Linked DNA regions of Mus musculus. The protein of the gene in region 1 purifies or fractionates together with the protein of each later gene. This does not show direct contact. Links are inferred from orthologs where the notes say so. Each region holds a gene or a part of one and is shown in the gene's direction. Other genes may lie near its edges. The genes, in order: Tnrc6a, Cnot7, Ago1 and Ago3.

The links.
Region 2: the proteins of Tnrc6a (region 1) and Cnot7 purify together in Homo sapiens (affinity purification with western blotting; 3 studies listed by BioGRID and IntAct, with this or other methods). This does not show direct contact. The link is inferred for Mus musculus from reciprocal best matches to the Homo sapiens genes TNRC6A and CNOT7.
Region 3: the proteins of Tnrc6a (region 1) and Ago1 purify together in Homo sapiens (affinity purification with mass spectrometry; 10 studies listed by BioGRID and IntAct, with this or other methods). This does not show direct contact. The link is inferred for Mus musculus from reciprocal best matches to the Homo sapiens genes TNRC6A and AGO1.
Region 4: the proteins of Tnrc6a (region 1) and Ago3 purify together in Homo sapiens (affinity purification with mass spectrometry; 7 studies listed by BioGRID and IntAct, with this or other methods). This does not show direct contact. The link is inferred for Mus musculus from reciprocal best matches to the Homo sapiens genes TNRC6A and AGO3.

The regions. Positions count from the first base shown.
Region 1 is NC_000073.6:123,167,562-123,173,300, forward strand, and holds part of Tnrc6a (trinucleotide repeat-containing gene 6A protein), read left to right. Parts: intron 1-1,974; coding exon 1,975-4,557; intron 4,558-5,671; coding exon 5,672-5,739.
Region 2 is NC_000074.6:40,504,304-40,510,042, reverse strand, and holds part of Cnot7 (CCR4-NOT transcription complex subunit 7), read left to right. Parts: coding exon 1-28; intron 29-2,394; coding exon 2,395-2,588; intron 2,589-5,739. UniProt on the Homo sapiens protein: Has 3'-5' poly(A) exoribonuclease activity for synthetic poly(A) RNA substrate. Its function seems to be partially redundant with that of CNOT8.
Region 3 is NC_000070.6:126,461,134-126,466,872, reverse strand, and holds part of Ago1 (protein argonaute-1), read left to right. Parts: intron 1-3,017; coding exon 3,018-3,201; intron 3,202-5,067; coding exon 5,068-5,188; intron 5,189-5,739.
Region 4 is NC_000070.6:126,425,474-126,432,012, reverse strand, and holds the start of Ago3 (protein argonaute-3), read left to right. Parts: upstream 1-2,470; 5' UTR 2,471-2,726; coding exon 2,727-2,745; intron 2,746-6,539.

The DNA.
Region 1 (5,739 bases):
AGAGTCCATGGAGGAGTGCTGCTTACCCAGGTGCTTTCTTACAGAGCCCAGGGCCACTTGCCCAGGGATGGTACCACCCACAGTGGGCTGAGACTGACTCCCCTATCAATCATTAATCAAGAAACTACCCTATGGGGTTGGTTGCCAACAGCTTGATCAGGTTTTTGTTTTTGTTTTTGTTTTTGTTTTGTTTTGTTTTGTTTTGTTTTTTGATTGGGTTTTGGTTTTGGTTTGACTTTGGTTTTAGTTTTGCTTTTATGAGACAGGGTCTCTGTGTGTAGTCCTGACTATGCTTGAACTTGTTCTATAGACCAAATGGCCTCAAACTCAGATCTGTCTGTTCCTGCTTCCCCATACACCACCTCGTGTAGCTTGGAAACCATTTTTTTAATGAAGGTTTCCTTCTCTCATGACTTTAGCGTGTATGAAGTTAACTTAAAACTGTCCAGCACATCTTGCTTCTCTCACTCAGTTTCTACAAGTTAACTTTTGTCCCTCGGTTTCTCACATACAAAGTGAGGGCAACACTTGTACTCTACAATGGTCCCAGGCACTTGCTGCAAGAGTTTGCAGACCTGCTGCTGTGTAGCAGTGAGTGCTAGCCGTGGATTGATATTGCCCTTGTATGTTGCAGTATAGAATTATTTCTTCCAGGAAGGCTGACTTTTTGGTTCTTTTTATCATGTGGATTCTACATAAGCAATAAAGAAGACAAATATCATCGACTACTTTTGGGGGGCATGGATGGACGGATGAACAGGGTTCTACTAATTAGTCCTTGCTTGCCTCTGAATCACAGATCTGCCTCCTGAGGGCTTGGATTCACGGTGTGACCAGAACCAGCTACTCACACTGTGATGAAATAATTGTAAAGGGAGTAGTAGTTGGTGCACTTTGCAGCACTTACTTAAATTATATTTACTGGATTTGTTACAGGTCAATCTCTAGTTGCTTTTCTTGCCATTATTACAGCTCTTCATCATTTGTTTCTTAGCATTTGTACTTTGAGAAAAAGTGAGACAAGCAGCAACATTTTTCCATACTAGCAAATCACACTAATAGTGTGACTTGGACTTATTTCCAGACCTTCATCCTGGGAACTATAGTGAAAGTCACACTTGAAGACAGCCTAAGTACAAATGTTTTATGTAGCCAATGTCACAGATGCATGTCTACCCACTGGACCCTTTAATGAGATAGATGGAGAAACTAACAAAAACACTGCGGGAAAGAATAGAAATAAAAACAGATGGTAGTTAGATGCCAATCTAAGGCTTGGTCATGTGATGGATGCCTATGGCCTTCAGTATCAGCTGCTGAATTACTGATCATAATTTGGTGATTTTCAGCATACCAATTTTTCTGTGTTGTCTCTTACTAAGCATGGCTATGAAAGTAAATTAGGAAATTGTTTAAAGTTAATGTTCTTCCTTATGTATAGCATGGTAATTAAGTGTATACACTAATAAACCAGAAATACAGTGCAAAGGCTTTGGGATCCTTACAGAATTCTTCTAACCCAAAGGAGTTGTGTGGAAAGCTGTTTTAGGAAACGGAATCATTTTGGGCTGCTTACGCTTACTTAGCTTTTTACATCCCAGTCTGTTTTCTCCCGTGTCAAGTCCTAAGCCTGGATTGCCCTAATTCATCATTACCACTCAGTCTTCTCTCCAGAATTCTTATATTTGTTGGATGTTGTCCGTTTATATATTTAGCAGGTCTCCCTGTGGGACTTTTTGTCCCATGCTGTACTGTAGGGTATTGAACAAAGCAGCAGAATTCTGCCTGTGAAATTACTGAACATGGAGCCTTGGTGGCTGAAAGATAATCAGCGCCTCACAGCCATTCTGCGGAGCATCTTGCTAATGTTGAGGAGCTACGTGTATTTCTAATGGATCGTCATTTTTCTCAGCCTACATACTATTTTGGAAATTGTTAACACTTATAAATAGATATACTTCTCCTTTATTCTAGATATAAATCATAATACTTCAGGATCCCATTATGAAAATTGCCAGCGGGGACCTGTGTCTTCTACAAGTGACTGTAGCACAAGCTGTAAGAATGCTGTAAACGACTTGTTGGAAAAAGAAGCATGGCCCTCAGCCCCTGGCAGTGATCCTGAGTTGGCTCCAGAATGTATAGATGCTGATTCTGCCTCCAATTCTGAGTCAGAGAGAAACATCACTGTCATGGCTTCAGGGAACACAGGTGGTGAGAAAGATGGCCTTCGGAACAGCACTGGACTTGGTTCTCAAAGCAAATTTGTGGTTGGTAGCAGCAGCAATAATGTGGGCCATGGAAGTAGTACTGGCCCATGGGGCTTTCCCCATGGAGCCCTAATAAGCACATGTCAGGTCTCTGTGGATGCTCCTGAAAGCAAACCAGAAAGTAGTAACAATAGGATGAATGCTTGGGGCACTGTAAGTTCTTCATCAAATGGAGGGTTAAATCCAAGCACTTTGAATTCAGCTAGCAACCATGGTGCCTGGCCAGTATTAGAAAACAATGGACTTGCCCTAAAAGGGCCTGTAGGGAGTGGGAGTTCTGGCATCAATATTCAGTGTAGTACCATAGGCCAGATGCCTAACAATCAGAATATCAACTCTAAAGTCAGTGGCTCTTCTACCCATGGTACCTGGGGTAGCCTTCAGGAAACTTGTGAGCCTGAAGTAAGTGGTACACAGAAGGTTTCATTCAGTGGTCAACCTCAGAATATCACCACTGAAACGACTGGACCAAATAACACTACTAACTTTATGACCTCTAGTTTACCAAACTCCGGTTCAGTACAAAATAATGAACTGCCTACTAGTAATCCAGGGGCCTGGCGTGTGAGCACAATGAATCATCCTCAGATACAGGCTCCGTCAGTTATGAATGGCACTTCCCTTTCTCACCTTAGTAATGGAGAGTCAAAAACTGGAGGCTCCTACGGTACTACATGGGGTGCCTATGGTTCTAATTACTCTGGCGACAAATGTGCAGGCCCTAATGGCCAAGCCAATGGTGACACTGTGAATGCAACTCTAATGCAGCCTGGCATAAATGGGCCTATGGGCACTAACTTTCAAGTTAATACAAATAAAGGGGGAGGTGTATGGGAGCCTGGGACAGTGAATTCCCAGAGTTCACCATGGGGAAGTGGAAATGGTGCAAATTCTGGAGGAAGTCGAAGAGGATGGGGAAGTCCTGCACAGAACACTGGCACTGGTCTATCCAGTGTCGAGTGGAACAAACTGCCTAGCAACCAGCATTCCAATGACAGTGCAAATGGCAATGGTAAGAAGCTTACAAATGGATGGAAATCTACTGAGGAAGACGATCAGGGTTCTGCCACATCTCAGACAAATGAGCAAAACAGTGTGTGGGCCAAAGCAGGAGGCACAGTGGAGAGTGATGGTAGTGCAGAGAGCACTGGACGCCTTGAAGAAAAAGTAACCGGGGAAAGTCAGAGTAGAGATAGAAGAAAAATTGATCAGCACACATTACTCCAAAGCATTGTAAACAGAACTGACTTAGATCCACGTGTCCTATCCAACTCTGGGTGGGGACAGACTCCTATTAAGCAGAATACTGCCTGGGATACAGAGACATCACCAAGAGGGGAAAGAAAGACTGACAATGGGACAGAGGCCTGGGGAAGCTCTGCAACACAGACTTTTAACTCAGGGGCATGTACAGATAAGACTAGCCCTAATAGTAATGATACCTCATCTGTATCAGGGTGGGGTGATCCCAAACCTACTCTGAGGTGGGGAGATTCCAAAGGCTCAAACTGCCAGGGGGGGTGGGAAGATGACTCTGCTGCTACAGGAATGATCAAGAGCAACCAGTGGGGGGGTTGCAAGGAAGACAAGTCTACATGGAATGATTCGCAAAAGAGCAAACAAGGCTGGGGTGACGGACAAAAGTCAAGCCAAGGTTGGTCCATTTCTGCCGGTGATAACTGGGGAGAATCTTCCAGGAGTAACCATTGGGGTGAGGCCAATAAGAAATCCAGCTCAGGAGGCAGTGACAGTGACAGGTCCATTTCTGGTTGGAACGAACTTGGGAAAACTAGTTCTTTTACTTGGGGAAATAATATAAATCCAAATAACTCATCGGGATGGGATGAATCTTCTAAACCGAACTCTTCCCAGGGGTGGGGAGACCCTCCAAAGTGTAATCAGTCTCTAGGTTGGGGAGATTCATCAAAGCCAGTTAGTTCTCCAGATTGGAACAAGCAACAAGACATTGTTGGATCATGGGGAATCCCACCAGCCACCAGCAAGCCTCCTGGTACAGGCTGGCTCGGGGGACCTATTCCTGCTCCAGCAAAGGAGGAAGAACCCACAGGCTGGGAGGAGCCATCCCCAGAATCTATACGAAGAAAAATGGAGATCGATGATGGAACTTCAGCTTGGGGAGATCCAAGCAAATACAACTACAAAAATGTGAACATGTGGAATAAAAACATCCCGGAAGCCAGCGGCCGCTCAGACCAGCAAGCGCAGATGCACCGGCTATTGCCAGCCGCAAGTGCCGTCTCAAGCAAGGAGACCAGCAGTGGCTCTGGTAAGCGTTCCCGTGTGGAGTGCAGAGGTATTGTGGAAGCAAGCTTTGTGTTGACATGCCTGTCATAAGATTTGTGTAACACGGCTCTTGGATATGCACATCAAGACCTTTCAGCTGTGACCTAGAGGTGACATTCACCTGGCAACAGCTCTGGTTTGTGGAGTCTTGCTCTGTTGTGTTAGGAATGTAGTAGAAGAGGTTAAGTGCAGACTTACACACTTAGGTATTCTTAGTCAAGCCTTAACAACGTGGTTTCACTACTGAAGTACAATAAAGCCAAATGCCTGAGGACCGTACTCTAGATATTTGGTATTATATTTGATCTTATGGGATTTTCTCACTGAGGCATGAAGTTAGTACCTCCTCAGTTAACTGGATAATGTGTGCACCTGAAGCATCGCACTGCTTTCTAGTATACTCTGACCTTTGCTCTCCTGTACTCAAAGTTTTTTCTCTGTAAATTGATAGGGCAACATTTTCTAAATGTGGCAGCCCTACATTGCCTTTGTTAACAGGAGTTTTATTGAATAATGCTCCATTGGTTAGAGAGCCGGTAATGTTTTCATGAATTCTTCTTTTAGTGCCTAATTGTGTGGGGGTTTTGTTTTGTTTTGTTTTGAAATATAAGCCTAGTCTATTGATTTATACTTATTTCTTAGGGAAAGTGTAGACCTTTTTTCCAATGTGTTAAAGGCAGGGTGGCTGTGTACCTGATGGTAGTCTTATAGTCAGCTGTTCTCCACTGCAGTGATGTGGGAAGAGCGTCCTTTCAGGACAGTGTAATTAGTGGAACTTTACACCGCACCTGCCTCAGCTCTCAAGCTTTGGTTCAGAAGAACCTGACATTTTTAGGAAAATAATTTGCTATAATGAAAAGAGTCTGCCCTAACACCAAGAAGGCAGTTTTGAAAGAAAAGGTTAAAACATTATACAATTATATTAATGCAGAATAATTTGTGTTCTCCACAAAATATGTCTCTTGGTTGTCACAGCATCATTTTTCAGTGTGTGATGTGAAATTCTTCATCTCATTTCCCAAGTCCTCTTCCTTGTCTTTAATTGAGGTGCTTCCTAATATCTATGCTGATGACTTCTTTTCCCATACTTTCTAAAGGCTGGGGTGAGCCTTGGGCAGAGCCTTCTACTCCAGCCACAACTGTGGATAATGGTACTTCAGCCTGG
Region 2 (5,739 bases), on another chromosome or scaffold:
TATCCGAAAATATAATTATGTTGCTATGGTATGGACATGACTAAAGCTTTTTAAAATGCCTTTTGTAAGGGTGAAGTGGGAAGTGTGTGAGTGAATAAGTACGTGTGTGTGTGTGTGTGTGTGTGTGTGTGTGTGTGTGTGTGTGTGTGTGTGTGTGTTTGGGGGGAGGGGTGCACTGACACGGGTCTTTTGGTGGCCTGAGACTTCCTGATTAAGCTACATTGACTGGCCAGGAAGCCCCAGGGATCCACCTGCCTCTGCTTTCCAAACATGTAAATTGCCAGCACATGGGCCATGCACCTTTTAAGCATAGATTCTTGAGTTTGAACTCCTTCTGGTCCACATGCTTGCATGCCAAGTGCTTTTACCAGATGAACTGTCCCCCTAAGCCCTGGAGTGGGCTGTTAAAACCATCAGGTAAAGCTGGGCGTGGTGGTGCACGCCTTTAATCCCAGCACCTGGGAGGCTGAGGCAGGTGGATTTCTGAGTTCGAGGCCAGCCTGGTCTACAGAGTGAGTTCCAGGACAGCCAGGGCTATACAGAGAAACCCTGTCTCAAAAAACCAAAACAAAAACCAAAAACCATCAGTTAAACCCTTCTCATTGATAGCTAAGGATTAATTTAATCATGAAAAAAGTGGACTATTTCTTTCATCGAAGGCTATCAGAAACAAAACTATTTTGACAAGTTGAGTTTTTACTGCTTGCATTAATCGGCAAGGGATTAGGAGTCAGGGACATTTGAGTGTAAGTGGCAGACATGCTTTAGGATTTAGTCTTGCTTCACCTGGGTTTAAGAGATTAAGGGAGGCAGGCTTCCCTGTGCTCTCAGGAAGCTATGGCATTCCTATGGGTTTTTACTGAGTCTGAGCTGCTTTGTGAGAAGGCAAGAGTAAGATACCAAGGCTGCAGATGGGAGGAGTCGCTCACTCAGCTAGGAGGAGAATGTTGTGTGGTTTAGACGTCTTTGGCATGGGGAGGAGGACATGGTTACAGAATGTACTTGTTGATGTACAATTTTGTGAAGCTGATTACGTTCAGTGGGAGGACTATAAAGCCTATCTAAGCATGTCAGCTCAGCTCTAAGCAATCCCAAGGCCGTGCTACTAGGTCCAAATAAGCTTTCAGACCAGTGAGTTCCTGGGTATCTTTTTAAAAAGAAGAAAGATAGAAAAACCAAAGTAGATCTTTTAGAAAAAAAAAAATTGCTAAAGCTCCAGAAACATACTTGATCATTAAACAGTCTGCTCTTATAAGTGGTATTCAGTCTGCCTAGCATGTTTGTATAATTAATTTTCTGCTTTGTTACTACATTTTGTGTATTTGTTATAGCTAGTCTATTTTCTTGGGTTTTTTTGTTTGTTTTTTTTCGAGACAGGGTTTCTCTTGAGACAGGGTTTTTCTCGAGACAGTGCGCCACCACGCCCAGTGCTAGTCTATTTTCTTGATCCACACAATTATTAGCCCTAGAAGGCGATATTTCAATGTCTTGCACCTCTATCCCTGGCCCACTTCACGTCTAGCTTAATTTTTATAGAATCCAGTAATTGGCTGGTGGTTGTATTAAATTCAGCAAATTTTAATTTCTTTGCTGTCATATTGACTTACTATTTTTTTCTTCCTCTTCCTCCTCCTCCTCTTTTTTGTTAGCCTTAATTTGAATGCTCATGCTAAACTAATACATAATTTTACTATCACAATTTAAAAAGAAATGCATCTCTGTGGATAAACAGGAATTTCTTTGTATAGCATACCATTCAGTAAGGTATGCTTGTCCATAATTAGAGCTGAAACTTTCTGTCTCGGCAGGGACCGTTATTTTTATGAGCAGCAGAAATTGTTAGTGGTCATTTATATCTCAGATAATAAGGAATAGCTGCATTACAGAAAGGACAGCTTACAAGAGAGAGTGTGACTGTACACAGAAAACACCTGTGCTAACTAAAGAAATGACATTAATGAGACTTTTTCTTTATTTTGGTGTCTCACTGCTTTGATTGGAAAGCACAGGGTACTTTTTAACTTTTAAATCAATCTTTCATGCGGGTTGAGTTTAGTAATGTAATGCTATAAGTGTAGTTTCATATGCCTACTCCTTAGGAATCAGTTTATGATTTTTCTTTTCCTTGGAAATAGCCCAAATATTTGCCTGAGTTTATTATGAGTTATCAGTACAGGATAGTAATTTATGGATAAATTTCAAGAAAAAGTAATTTAAGTTTATAGAATATTGAGGTCTGATAGGTAATGCTGTTCATGCTTATAAAATAAGCATTGAGTGTGAACATACAGAATTTCATTGTCATAGAATTCTCTGACTTGTATCAAAAATTTCCTGAGAGTTTATGGGTTGTATTTATGACCATTTAGTAAACAATTATCAATTATTTTACAGGACACCGAGTTTCCAGGCGTTGTTGCAAGACCCATTGGAGAATTCAGAAGCAATGCTGACTATCAGTACCAACTGTTGCGGTGTAATGTAGACTTGTTAAAGATAATCCAGCTCGGACTGACCTTTATGAATGAACAGGGAGAATACCCTCCAGGAACGTCAACTTGGCAGTTTAACTTTAAGTTTAATTTGACGTAAGTGGGAAGTAAATATATAACCTCAGTGTCCCTGGAAATGTACTAAATACAGAAATTCAAAAGTTTAGGCTTATTATTACGAGGCAGTTGTAATTGCTTCACAGTTAGAAAGATAATAAAAACTTTCTAATTTCAAAGACTTTAGTTATAGAGATGTTATTTTTAAAATATGATGGTCATTTTTATGGAAAGTTGTGAACCTGTATTTGTGTTGCTGTTTCTGTTGTGTTTGTCATTGTTTAAGGTGCTGCAGATTAAACCTGGGGCCCTAAGCATGACCCTTAGGGTATTGATTTGACTTTTACATTTTGCTGTTGTTTTGCTTTTTTGAGACAGTGTCTCATTACATAGCCTAGGCTGGCCTGGAACTCTCTATGTAGACAATGCTGGGCTCAAACTCCCAGAGATCCATCTGCTTCTGCCTCCCAAGTGCTGGGATTAAAAGGCTTGTGCCACCACACATAGAGCTTTCACATTTGTTTTTATGCCCAACTTGGAATACATATGATTGGGGTGGCGCTTTGCTGACTAAGCAAGCGGGTACCACTTAGCTACAACTCCAATCTACTGTGACTTGTTAAGATAGTTATTATTCCTGTGAAGAAACTATTATTACAGTCATACTTTGCATTCTAAATACTCACCACGTGTACTAAGATATTTCTTGGGAAATTGGGGCTATTTTCTTTTCAAATTCATTTTCTCTAAAGGGCTATTCCAATGCAATCCTCAACCTCTTAATCTACATACAGAAAATGTAATAGTATTGAAGCTTGCATATTTACCAAAACCTGATGTCTACCTCAAATCTTGGGTATAAACTATTTCTTTAGTTAAAATAGTTCTACATTAATTATTACAATCTTCATAGCTGAGGGAACTGCATGAAGGTGAGTCCATCCTTTTGACACAGCATCATTGGCAAAGTTTATGCTCAAGAACCATGCATTTGGATTTTTAAAATTTATATATACACACACACACACAATGTTTTAAGTAAGTTTGCCACATTTATAACCATTGTGGAGTTCATATGACTTCTGAGCTTCAGGATATAAGCGCCTAGTATGAGGCAGGGGCATATTACTGCTGTTCAGGTATGGAAATAAAATATATAGTATATTCTGTACTATGTTACAATATTGTGGTGCCCTTCTGCTTGGTAGCCTATATTTGTATAATATGATCAAACATCTGGTTTGAAAAATAGCAACAGAAAATGATAAGAAAATCAGTGCTAGTGTAAGAATTCTTACATGAGAATGAGAATTCTTTCTTCATTCCTATTTTTTGTTGAATATGTACAGTTTTATGTTAGACCTAATGAATAGCAGGACTGATGGTTTTAGAAGGCAGTAGTGTAAGCGATGCAGTTGTGTATCTTGAAAAATGTGTTGTTACTCCTCTAAATAATCCTGATAGTATTTTAACATCTAGTACTGTCCTGACAGTCCCTATAGACCCTAGAAAGGCTAACGTGCTCATCCCCACTGTCATTTCATAGTGCTTCATGAGTACTACAGCTTTGGAACAGGTGAAAATGTCCTCCCATGCTCTCCTCAAATGATTACTGTGTTCTTTAGTTTTTTCCTATTTTAACTTCTTCAGGGTTCTTTTTACCCCTCAAATTAATCATCATAGCATTGGGTGTTGTTTGGTTTTTTTGTTTTTGTTTTGTTTTTTTATATAAGATACTCAGTTTGTGACTGGGAGCTAATATCTCAGGGTATTAGTTGGTAAAGCTGGTAGTCTTCATTGCAAGGATGGTAATTTTTGTAGCAGTGGCTTTTCCATTATTCTCCAGGAACATTTGTTTTTTTCTTACTCAGACAAAACTAGTTTTACCGCCAATTTTGCTACTATTTCTACTAATGGTAACATCATAGGATGGTAAAGAAAAGAGTGCATTGGCTGGTGAGGTGGCTCAGTGCTTAAGTGCCTGCCATCATGGTGGATGATCTTAAGTATGATGCTCAGGACTCACATGGTGGGAGAGAACTGAATATGTGTCATATGATGGACATGTGCAGGCGCGCGCGCGCACACACACAATGAAAATTTTAGGCTAAAATTTTTAAGAACATAGTGAAAAATGTTAATGAGAACAAAAGCCTTTGAGAAGATAAAAGTAGTACTGCATAATGTGGGAAGCATCATAATAGCATCTTAGACGTGTTGAAGGATGGTGGAAATTGACCTTGTTGAATGCCTAGAAGGAGCGTGTTAGTGCACTAGGCTCTGCAGCACAGTGTTGGTGAACATTGTCCAACATCATAATAGCCTAGTGGTTTTCATCTCTCTGCCTGTTGTCTGTGCTTGCGAAAATTTTTGTGTTTAATTCTCACATTTGTCCAAGTCAGGGTTCTTTTAGGTTTGCCAGTGTTGTTTCAAGTTTTACCATTAGCATCAAGGGAGTAAGTGCAAAGCATTATTTATCAGGTGTAAATAGAAAGATTTGTGGAAAGATATGTATAGTTGCAGTGTGTGTTGCATTAAGCTTTGCATAGATTCTTGAGAGTAGCCCACTTATAAGAAATACCTACAATTGGAAGAACGCTCTTCAAGTCTTACTTAACATTCTCTGAATCTTGAAGGCATGACTTGTAATACCTAGATCAGTATTAGGTAACAAACATTTAGGAAAAAATAAATACTCTCTATGTAAAAATGTGTCTTTAGACATATTGGTATTTTGGTCACTGTAACTGTTGTACTTACTGTGGGCTTGAAAGCAAGCATGGTTATTAATGTGTGTTTTCAAGCTAAGACTTTGCTTTCTTTGCCCAGTGCTTGATAAACTCTGTAACAGAAAAAGAACATCACAGCCATAGTTAACGAGCACACTGGCTGCTATTGTGTCCTCTTCAGAGCTAAACTTGAGTGTTATGGAGTGAGCAAGCTGGATTATCCTCACCACTGACATAGCCTAAAACTGTTGGCTTGATGGACAGCATTTTCTAGTAGTGTTTTCTCACCTTCTCATTAGCTCCTCAGGTTAAAGGTGAGGTAAACACACTTGCGAGGTGTGGATTTACCCACAGGATTACTGTTAACATTGAAGTATATACATTTCAGACATAAAGAAAGAAAACTTGACTGTAACAGTGTTACACTGTGACTTTATAAAGCATATTTGCTGACATTTTTT
Region 3 (5,739 bases), on another chromosome or scaffold:
GGACTATAGAGTAGGACCCACGTCCAGACAGACTGACGAAAGCTTATGTCCTGAATTGCTAATGGTTTTATCCTGACGAGTGTCTGATGGGTTCTGGGGTGATGAAGAAAGGGGGCTTGTTTGTTACAGGACAGAAGGAAGCTGCCAGGTGAAGGGCTGGAGAACTGGAGTCAGCTGGATCATTGGGAAAATGCTAGTGGCGTCATCAAAAGACGGAATTAAAATTCAGGCTGGGAACTCTGATGGAGGGACCCCATAGCTGTTTCCTTCTGGGGCTGGACTGCTGTTCTTTTGGAAGGTGCTGGAGTATTCTGAGAAGACTCAAAACACTGTTGCTCACGTCCAGATGTGCCTTCAGTGAACTGGTGTGTTCGGGCATGGCCTGGCCTGAGAGTGCCTTGAGGGTAGAGGTGCTGTCCGACTTATCTGTGTGACAGTGCAGCAGTTGCTTGGCGTCTGGAGGGCCTGACACAGAGAGCATGTTTATTAATTGACTCAGATCATTCAAGTGTGAGCATATGGTTAAACTCATGTGCCTATTCTGTAATTTGTGTCTATGCATGTGGGTGGTTAATGTTTGTGGACAGATATTTTTCGAGAGATCGGCCTCAGTCCTTGCTTGCCCACCACCTGATTGACCGAGGGTACACGCCCTCTGAGTAGTCGGCTGGCTTCTTTAGAAGATGTGTGAGCCCCTGAGTCGCTGGGGAGGAATCCTGAGCCTGGGCCTTGAGCTCGGTTACTTTTCCTTCTCAGTGCTTGTAGGGGATGGGGGAGGGGGAGTGTCATTTTCAGGGCCCCTCCCTTCTTGCTTTTGTCTGCAGGGAAGGGCCCCGCCCCTTTCCCCCTAGGCTGGAGCTTTGTCCTCTGTGCTGGGGCCCTCATCTGCATCACAAAGTGGCCGTCTGTCCCTGTCTGGGTCTGAGGGGAAGTGTCTTCCTTTCTCAGACTAAAAGCTGGGGGCAGGGCGAGGTTGGGGAGTAGAGACTGTACAGCTGTGCAGCTTTCCTGGGGACAGAATGGCAGAGAGGTAGTTGTTTCCTCATGCCTTCTTTCCTAGTTTGGGGATGAAGTGGAGATGTGTTCTCCGTTTTCCCTGAATCCTGGACAGGAGAGTGCTCTTGGGCTGGCACTGGTGTACTGTCCATTTCTGGGGTGGAGAGCGCCCTGAGGGGAGTGTCTGTCTCAACTCACACCCTATAATTTCTGCTTTGCCCTTGGTTCTAGAGGGATGTCTTTCTCCCAGAATTTCAACTGATTTTTTTCAGTTTAGGAGGCAAAAGGTGAATGGGATCCTAGAACTTGGGAAAGGGAAAGATCTATCCGAAAGGGGGCAAGTGCTTCTCCAATGCAGAGTTTATGATTGTTCGTTCGGGACCGTTGCGAGTGTGGTTGTGTAGTTGTGTACTCTTGTGGTGTGCCTATGGGTAGACTTGGTCATTCATTTCATATGGGTATACTAAGTACCTGTCTTTGTGCCCGGCATTAGCTTGAGCTGTGACTAGGTCAAGTATGGTCCTCTTTTTGAAACACTGAGCTGAGGATGGTGAGTGTATGTGCAACAGTAAACTTTAAAGAGCTAGGATGTGAGAGGGGTGTTTGTTAGTGGGCTTGTGCGCAGTGTCCGCTCAGCTCTTTCTGGGATAGGTGTGACTAGTTTAGTTCCTTTGCCGCTGAGTTCTTTGGGCTGGACTTGCATGCTCCTCTGTGGAAAGGGGCTGGGGCTGATTTGACAGGTGGTTAGAGGGAGTCAAGTCCTTCAGCTTTGGAAAGTGTGCACCTCCCACAAAATGGTGCTCTTCCTGACCCCCCTCCCTAAGATATGCTCCGTATCCTCCCACCCCTGCCCCATCCCCCAGTCCTTTCCATGAAAGCAGAGCTCTGGTAAAGGGAGGTTCTGAGTTTATCCCTCTTCCACCTGGGCTAGTCTTCTGCAGGCAAGAACAATAGTAGCTGAGGACAAAGGCCCCACTTAGTCAACACACACACACACACACACACACACACACACACACACACAGAGAGAGAGAGAGAGAGAGAGAGAGAGAGAGAGAGAGAGAGAGAGAGAAAAGCTGGCCTATGCTAGCCTTTCCCAAGGGCCCCTTCTGTTCTGAATCGATCCTTTCTGCTGTCTGGACCCTCTGTGTGGAAAGATTTGTGGAGAATGGAAAGTGCTGTTTATTCCCCTTCTGACCTGCTGCCTCCCCTCTTACTGCTCTTCCTCCTTCCAGAACCTCCAGCTTTCTTCCTCATGTGAGCTTTTCTTTCCTTCTGTTTCTTCATTCTACATCTTGATAGTTTTTTCCCTGTACCCCAATCCAACTTACCTTGCCTTATCTGCACCCTTTCCCCCACCCCCTTCCTGTCTGTTTTCTCTTGTGTCCTCCAGATCCGACCTTCTCTCCCACCCTGGCAGTCTCCTCTTAGTCTGCAGATGCTGTCCTTCAACCCTTCTCTTCTTTATGTCTCTCCAGAGCCAGCCACTGCATGTCTCAATCCTCTCTCAGGCACCGGCCTTGCCCTTCCCAGCCTGGATTACTTAGGGTCATTCTCCTGTCCACATTAACAGAGGGTGTAATCACAAAGTTCTGTGCCATTTTGTGCTCTGGATGGTAATGAGTGAAGTAAGCCTCTCATAGCACAGAATAGGACCTTCTCCATCTGCCAGATGCCCGGTAGAGACAGTTATCTCAGTCTAGTGTAGAAGGAAGAAAAGGTTTTGTAAAACTAGGAAACAGACTTAACTACTTTTCTTGATGCAATAGGAACTCGTTACACATTTACTCGATGAGGTTTCAGATACACATTTTCCTAAATGAAGAAAGGTTTAAAACAAAAATAAAAGAGAAATAAGCCACCAGAAAAACCAGTGAGCCTGTGAGTGTCTGAGCTAGTGGAAGCCCCCTGCCGGGTTAGGAAAACTGGAAAGAGACCAGTGGTCTTGGTCTGAGGGGCCATGTCTGACCACGGTAGGAGACTGCCAGACTCTGTCCTCAGTGGCGTCTTTGTCTTCACAGCGGCAGGTGCCTACCTGCCTCCCCTGCAGCAGGTGTTTCAGGCACCCCGCCGGCCTGGCATTGGCACTGTGGGCAAACCAATCAAGCTTCTGGCCAATTACTTTGAGGTGGACATTCCTAAGATTGACGTTTACCATTACGAGGTGGACATCAAGCCGGATAAGTGTCCTCGCAGAGTCAACCGGTAAGCGATGCCCGCAGGTGGCACCAAGTCCAATTTATTAAACAGGGAAAAGAGGAAGCATGCCGGCTAGACGGAGTGTAGCACGGAGCATAGTCTAATATTTGCTGATGTGCATGAGCACAGAGACTAGAGACTTACTAAAGGAGCTGGTAGAGAAAGAAGTTAAAAGGCAAGGTCAAAATGGCGGGAATAAGAACAGGATGGATGTTCTTGCTTGCAGGGGATGTTGTGGAATGTGTAGTTGGAGGGGTTAGTCGAATAAGAAGCAGATTAAATTGGTTTATTATTACTTGAAAGTCATATTCACAATTAAAAACTAGGAATTAGCAGTGAAAAATTATTGTTCTTGAACATTTTTTTCTACAATCTTGAGTGTATTTTCAGATGTTTTTCTGTACGTGCATACATTAATATATGTACATTAATATTATAGTCATGAGTATATAATACATTCTATAGTAATATATCATCAATTTCTATTATCATTAATTATTAATTATATTCTTAACAAGCACATATAATATTACATTATTACATATTATTGTATATGCATATACACATTGATTTTGTACAAGTATTACATATAATAAAATATATGTGCATTAATGTTATGTATACATACGTGTCATAGTCAGGGTTTCTATTCCTGCACAAACATCCCGACCAAGAAACAAGTTGGGGAGGAAAGGGTTTATTCAGCTTACATTTCCACATTGCTGTTCATCACCAAGGAAGTCAGGACTAGAACTGAAGCAGGTCAGAAAGCAGGAACTGATGCACAGGCCACGGAGGGGTGCTGCTTACTGGCTTGCTTCTCCTGGCTTCCTCAGCCTGTTCTCTTATAGAACTCAGGACTACCAGCCCAGGGATGGCACCACCCACAATGGTCCCTCCCACCCTTGATCACTAATTGAGAAAATGCCTTACAGCTGAATCTCATGGAGGCATTTCCTTCTCTGCGATAACTCCAGCTTATGTCAAGTTGACACACAAAACCAGCCAATACAATATGTAATGTATGAACACATATAATATTAATGTACAATACTATATACTTTGTTCAATATTGTCCATTTTTTTCTGTTTAGCCACATATATTGGAAAATAGCGTATATTAGTTTATTTAGATCTGCCTTATTCTTTTGCATAGTGCCCTAGGTAGTCCTTGGGGTGGCCGCATAACTTTCTTGATCTATTGTGGAATATTTAGGTTGAGTCTAAACTTTGCAACAAGATTGAAACTGTTAAGTATTATATAAAGATACATATTTTCACCCATGCATGAATGTATCTGTAAGATAGAAGTCCTAGGAGTGGAGCCACTGGCACAAGGCAGTTTAAATTGAGACATTGTGGATTCCTAGAGGCTGTGTCAGAAGAACGTAGGTGTGGGAATGAGAGCAAGGTGATGATGGAGAGAAAACTGCTAAGAGTTTAGAGACCCAGAGAGAGGGATTGTTCTACACTTTATTTTATTATTTCTAGGCTAGCTCAGATCGTTTGCTCTTTTTCCTTTTGTTTTTGCTCGACCGACTGGGAATTAGAGGTTGTGGAAGGTTCAGGATAGACCTGAGAACAGGTGCTTCCCCCTCAGAAGGTCTCTGTGGGTGTTGGTGAACTGAGGGCCAACAGTGTCACCCTAGGTTGTGAGAAGTGTGGGTTTTAAGCTACACTGTAGACTACAAATCAGAAGATGACTTTAATCAGACCTGCCGGTTGATAGGAATGTTGAGGCTTTTGGCATACTGCCGAGGAGTAGACAATAGAAAGCAGCATAATACATGGGACAGTGCCTCGATTTTGAAGGGCTTGCAAAAGCCTGACATGATACTCTCAGCTTCCACATGCCACGCCTGTCTTCTGCAGGGAGGTGGTGGAATACATGGTCCAGCATTTCAAACCGCAGATCTTTGGGGATCGCAAGCCTGTGTATGATGGAAAGAAGAATATTTACACGGTCACAGCACTGCCCATTGGCAATGAGAGGGTAAGGCCAGGGATGGCGCTAGGTCTGTGAGCCCAGGGAAGCCCACCTGGAGTCTGTGAGTCCAGCGAGCCTTCTTTTCTTTTGTGTGGAAAAGTATATTTTGGGGCATGATGAGTCAGGGTAGATGCTTACTGTGTGCCTATCCCTAAACAGTGAGATTAGATTAGACGTAAAAATAAAATAAAATAAAATAGAAAGACCCAAAGAATTTCCTTCTAGATTAAGGAGGCCAGAAGCACTGGGGCATCATCTGTGGAGATTGGGTGTGGGTTTTTATTCTGGGTTTTTTTTCTTTTTTAATTTAAGATTTATTTATTATTATTCATAAGTACACTGTAGCTGTCTTCAGGCGCATCAGAAGAGGGTGTCAGATCTCATTACGGGTGGTTGTGAGCCACCATGTGGTTGCTGGGATTTGAACTTAGGACCTTCGGAAGAGCAGTCAGTGCTCTTAGCTGCTGAGCCATCTCACCAGCCCTATTCTGGGGTTTTTAGTGTGAGCCCTTTGGCAGCTTGTGGAGTGGGAGACAGTGACTAGCCGGGAAGACTAG
Region 4 (6,539 bases), on another chromosome or scaffold:
CTGAATCTCATTTGGAGGCCTCAAGGCCTTACCACACGTTACTGTAGGAAGTTTGAAATGCACTGAGCATTTGGTATTTTAATGTGCTTTGTCATGGCGACTCATGTATTCGTGTAACTATTTGATACCCTGGTATTTTTGTTGGGTGGTTCATGTAGTTTACTCCTTTTTAAATTTGGTTGTTTGTCTTAATGAGCTATGAAAGCATATAAAATTCAAGAAATAAGTTCTTTGTTGGAGATAATATGTGTATATATACACATATGTGTACATATATATGTAATTTTTCCTAACCCATGTCTTGCCTTTCGTTATGAATAGGAAAAAAACGTCCCATTTTTATGTCCAATTTATTAATGTAAAGTTAAATTTACTGTCTTTCTAACTTTTCTAGTTCATGCTTTTTTTAGTCGTATTTAAAGAAAATTTGCATTGTCTGGCTGAGGTGGCTGCTGGGATGCTCAGTGCACAGTGTTCACTGCTTCCTCTGCACCTGAGACTTTGTACTGTTTTATAGATCTTCCTTCTGAGAACCATCGATGCCATCAGGCATAAGCCACAGTTTTATCCTACTTCTTGAGCCCTATCCTTGAAAACAATCCAGCCAGCCAGCCAGCAAATAGTTAATGTGCTCTTACAGGACAGCAACAAGCATTGCTCTGGTACTGAAGGTGTGGCAGTTAACAAGATACACAAAACTTTATGTCCCCAAGATTAGGCTCATTTGGAAATCAGTTACCCCAAACAGTATTTGGCCAGGGGAAAGTCTCATACAACTTTTCATCGGCAAGAATCTCCTAGACCTTTTTGCCTCCCTACTTTAAATTTTAATTCATGAGTTTTTCATGTGGGTTTACCCTAAAACAGTAAAAGCAAAAGTAGATAGGAACCCATCACAGATATTTGTTGGATTTCACTGACTCTAAGGACGCAAATCTTCCTTCAGTGTTAAAAAAGGCAGCACCTTCGAAAAGATGAATCAGTGGTTATGATCACTGGCTGTTCTTCCAGAGAACCTAAGTGCTTCCCAGCACCCAGGATGGCTCACAACTGTTTGAACAGTTCTCAGGAATCTGCCACCCTCTTCTTGCCTCCAAGACACCAGAAGTGCAGAGACCAGACACCACCACACACATTTGAAAACAAATAAAAGCATGCTGTTTGTCACCACACCATGTTTTTCTGGAAGCTAGTTGAGCTTGCATTCATTCAAAGAACTAGTTCCAGAATCAAGAGATTGGGGGTAGGATAGGTCCTTCCACAAGTCTGAGATTTAGTTCTTATGGCTTAGGTCAATATGGATTGTATATAATCAGAGCTTGAACATGACTTTTAAGATGTGCTCATTCATCTGAGGATGTGATATTTTAAAAGTGATAAGAGTATTTCTTTTCAGTCAACAGGAAGAGAGGCAGAATTGGTGTGCTAGATGTGGCTTGGAGTCACTTCCATGTATTAAATGTTTATTATGTAGTCAGCATATTTATTAAGTACCTCAAAATTGTAACTATTGTAAATATTTTTGTTACTAACATTTGGGAGGTTTTTGTTTTTTGTTTTCCTTTCAGTTTTTCTGATGAGGAAACTAAAGTCCAAAGATAAAGTGACTAATCCAAAAACCCAAAACGGGGAGGGAAGGGATCGTGAAAATAAAATCTTTCTCAATTCTCTTTTTTAAAAAAGAAATATATGTCAAAACATTACTGGTTCATTGGGACACGGGGAAAAATACTGAATCATTGCTAAGCTTGCATGAAGTATCTGGTTTCACGAAGCCAAGTATTTTTAAAAGACGGACTATTTGCCGGATAATGAGCTGGGTCTAGTCTCCCAAAGGTTCCAAGTCAGCAGAAAAGCACCAGACTGGATCGGATCGGGGAAACTGGAGGCTGACCAATTTAGCTGTAAAAGTCTCGAGTCCCAAGGAAGAGAAGGTTTAGCAGGTGTTTAAACACCGGAAGGTCGTTTAGGTTCCTCAACGTATTGGGAGACTGTTTAAACATAAACGTAATTCCATCTGGTATACATGGAACATCCCGTTTCTTGTTCATCCGTTTAAAAACTATATTGAACTTGTGGTCACCGCCTAGTGCACGTGCTCCAAGCGGGTGTGGCAGACGGAGCTGGGAGGGAGGATGCCCTTGGCTGGTCACCCGCCACTCTCAGGTAGGATGTACCTCAGGTAAGCTCCGCGGGCAGGCAGCGATGTCGCCTCAAGCAGCGGTCCTCACCCGGGAGGCTGGCACGGGGAAAGCTGGCCTCTCGCTCGGGATTGTCGCCGTCAGGCACAGCGGGTGCAGGGCGACCGCCCATCCGCGGCTCCGCCCCAGCCAGGCACCGGCTCACCCGCCCACAGATCCCCAGACCTTGTTGCTCCCGCAAGGCTCTGGCTCCAGGCGAGCTGCCGACCCGGAGGGAGAGCGGGGCGGGATCCGGAGAGCGGAAGTGACGCGAGCGGGCTTCCGGGGGCGACCGGGAAAAGCGAGCGGCTGCGGCGGCGGGGCGGCTGGCGGGTCGGGAAGCTGCACGCGTCAGCATCTGTGGGCGACGCAAGTTCCGGACCTGGTTCCAGCGTCCTCACTCAGGACTGTCGCCGCTCTTACCTCGCTGCAGGCTGTCTGTCTCTCCCGACTGTGCCTCTTGTGCCCGGAGCTTTCCGAGGGCGTCCGCTCCTCGCCTCTGTGGTGGCACCCTTCTCTCGTGAAGCACTCCCCCCAGCTCCATGAATGGAAATCGGCTCCGCAGGTGAGGCGAGCTGCGGGACAGGGCAGGTGGGGTCGTTACCCCGATGTTGTCCCCTGAGCATCCTTGTTCCTTCCACTTCAGGTGCTGTCAGCGCACATAGTGAGGGAGTTGCGGGCTTTCAGGCCCGATGCGGGTGTCCTCTCCACAGCCCAGGGACCTACACTCTTGGGGTCATTGAGTTGGCGAAACTACAAGGAGGGCTTAAGTTTGGAGTTCTGTAGGTGATGACATCCCCCTAGAGTGCTTTCCCCTGAGAATGGAGAGAAGTTTGCCCTTGCTTTTGGAATTCTTGTTGGAAATATAAAGGGCGCGCTTGTCCTTTAACCGGGTCGTGTGTCCCATGGATGCAGAACAAGTCAGGCATAACCCTTATCTACCTATTAGTGTAGTTTGAGGATACTCTGAGATAATCAATGATTACGTTTCTAATTGGTGCTCGGGCGACGTCAGATGCAAGATGGCATTGCTCCCACCCCTGGTTCTCAGTGTCTGAGTGTGTAGTTTCTGAGGAGCTCGGAGATGTCCTGTCGCTCTGGACCACTGCTTACTAGAAGGCAGAGCTTCAGGATGCTGACACTATTTCCCCTCTATTTTCTATTCCCTGCACAGGAAATCTGGAATTTAGGATTTGTCTCTTGAGGAAAAAAAAAAAAAAAAAAAAAAGAGGTCTTGAGAAAGGAAGCCGGCCTGGATAGTGCTTGTCTTTAAAAAGGAAAAAGTAGTCAGCGATTCTAAAGTAGTTGATAGAGTAACATGAAATAGGTGTTACATAACGGCCTGCTGGCCCAGCAGTCACCCTGTTCTCCAGTTTGAAAGTTCTCTCCATCCACAAGATCAGTAATATATTGTTTTCATATATTTGGGGGATTGCCTTGTTATTATGTCCTAGCAAGTCACTGAATTTCATATCTCATCTTGCCAATTTGAAAGGTCCCCAAATATAAGAGAAAAAAAAAAACCCAAAACTAAAACTAGCAACATAGAAGGCCTTCAAATCAGTTCAGGGCATAATTGTCGAAGGGATACAAAAAGGCATTTCCTTTATTATGTGGAATTTCTTTCTACTCAGTGTCTACCATTTTTTCCCTTTCTATGTTCCATTTTTTTTCTCATATTTTCTTAACAGTGAAATATGTCTAGGCTGTGAAGTTTTGGACTCTTATTATCAATATGTGTGTTTCCAGACTGTATTTTCTATGCTTTAAAAGTTTACATTCTGTCTGTACTGCTTTTACTTTATAAGATAATCTGATTATTTCCAGCTCTCTGATTTTTACATAGCTACCCTGTTGCCAAGCCTGGAAAACTAAATATGACATTTAAGGTTGTGTTAATCATCTACCTAAAACTTTTGAAGAGCTTTCCCCCAAATTGAGTATTTTCCCTATTTGGGCTTTTTATGTGAAAATATTGACATGTGTTGATTATTTGTGATATAGGGCCAACTACTCAGTTGATACAATTAGCTAAGCCTGACTCAGTAAAATGTACCTTTTCTTTTTGGGTGTTGTTTTGATAAAATATAGAGCAGTTGATGTCTTCCCATCAGGGAAGGTATAGTTAAGATTTATTAACTAGTTTGGCAATGGTGGCTCACACCTCGGTCCCAACATTCAGGAGGCAGAGATGGTTCAATCTTTGTGAGTTGGAGGCCCGCCTGATTTACATAAAGAGTTCTAGGCCAGCTGGGGCTACTTAGTGAGACCTTGTCTAAACAAACAACAAAACAACCAAATTGTTGTTCATTGAATAAAAACAAACAAAACAGTTCTACCAGCCATGCTTGGCCATCTTGAAACATAGAATTTGTTCTTCAGTGAAGTTTATGTGTGACTGGCTGTTGTTTACTATCAGGCTCAAGGTTGTTACCATCAAAATGATTCTTTTGGTTGGGTGCAGCGACCCATGGCTTTAACCTCAACACCTGGGTTTCTGTGATTTAGAGGCCAGTCTAGTCTACATAGTGAGTTCTAGGCCAGCCAAAGCTACATAGTGAGACCCTTCGGAAGGAAGGAAGGAAAGAAAGAAGGAAGGAAGGAGAAACAGAGAGAAAAAGGGAGAGAGAGTTTTTTGTGTTGTTCTTGCGATTTTTATGTAATTGTTACAGTGAATGTGAAATTGAAACATACTTAGGAAAATAGACAACTAGGTTTTAAATTCAGATTTGACATTTTTTAGCTATGTGGGCTGGAGAGATGGCTCAGCAAGTAAGAGCACTTGCTGTTTCAGCAGAGGACCCGGGTTTGGTTCCTAGCACCATGTGGTAGCTCAAAACTATAACTTCAGTCCCAGGGGATCTGATGCCCTCTCCTGACCTCCAAGGGCATCAGGCATGCATATGGTGCACATACATATGTGCTGGTAAAACATTCATACACATAAAGCAATATAATAAATTTTAAATTTGAAAAAAATAGATATAGGTGCTTTCTAACAGTCTATTAGGTTAGTACTGAAATTTTGGTTCTCAAATTCTGTTTTCCTTTTAGTGCAATAGAGGATATAAAATATAATTATTATGTAATTATTTAGTGATGGAGCATTCCTTACTAGAAATATTTATTCTTTCTTTCCTATTTGCATGAAATATTACAAGGGTTATTTGTGAAACTAGGTCTCCTTGTGTAGATTAAAGCTGTATGCCATCATACCTAGCTCTATAAGGCATTTTTCAGTTGTCCTATACAGTCCACTAATTAGTACCACCTCAATTTCAATTTAACAACAAAAAAAAGGGAATAATTCATTTTAAATAATAATTTGGCATTTATGTTTATGATTCCTTGGGGGTAAATCTTATAAAACTTTTTTGGTCTAATTACAATTGAGTTAAATAAAATATATGGGCTATGCTTTATTTCTAAATAAAATGAGAACAGGAAAATCAGGCAATGTTCATGTAAACACTACCTATTTTTGAACCCTAGTACTCTAGTTTATATTTTTAGGTAAAGCCCAGCTGTTGTTCAGAAAGGAATTATACTTAAATGTAAATATTCTCTAATACTCTATGTGAAGATGGGCGTTTCAGTTATGGATTGCTTTCCTAGCGTACTACAAATTCCATCCCCAACATTGGAGGTGAAAAGGCTCATGGAGGGAAACCACTTATTTTTATCATAAATTACTACTATGTAAGTAGAGTTGTCGTGGCTGATAGTTTTATATAATCTTGCAAAAAGGTTTTACTTACTTTTACCTTATGAGTGTTTGACTACATGTATGTATCACTTATACCATGTGTGTGTCTGGTGCTCACAGAGGCCAGAAGAGGGCATTGACTCCCCTGGGACTGGAATTAGTGTAGTGAGCTGCCATTTGTGAGTGCTGGGAACCCAACCTTGGTCCTCTTGAAGAACAGGAAGTTCTCTAACTGCTGAACCATCTCTCCAGCCCTCTTAAGTTAAACTTTTAATTTTGTGTTAGAGCCCGGTATTTCTTTTATTGATGAAAATGTTTTGAGTCAGAAGCACTTGCAAAAGTAAGGCCTGTGCAACCAAACCTGATCCAGATCTCATATGCAAGCAGAGAACTGACTCCCAAAAGTTGTCCCATCCACACAGACATCCACACTCAATAAACAAACAAACAGTATGGGGAGGGAAACAAAAGCCCATTTGGGTCCAGATTTCAGAAGAACAAAAGCTGAATGTAAAGGAAGCTGGAAGTAAATGAAGAATGAGACTGGAGTCTGGCATGATGGGGTGCTCCTGTCATCTCAGCATTCGGAAAGCCTGACAGAGAATTATGACTTGAAAGCCATCGGGGCTACACAGTCAGACTTCATCTCAAAA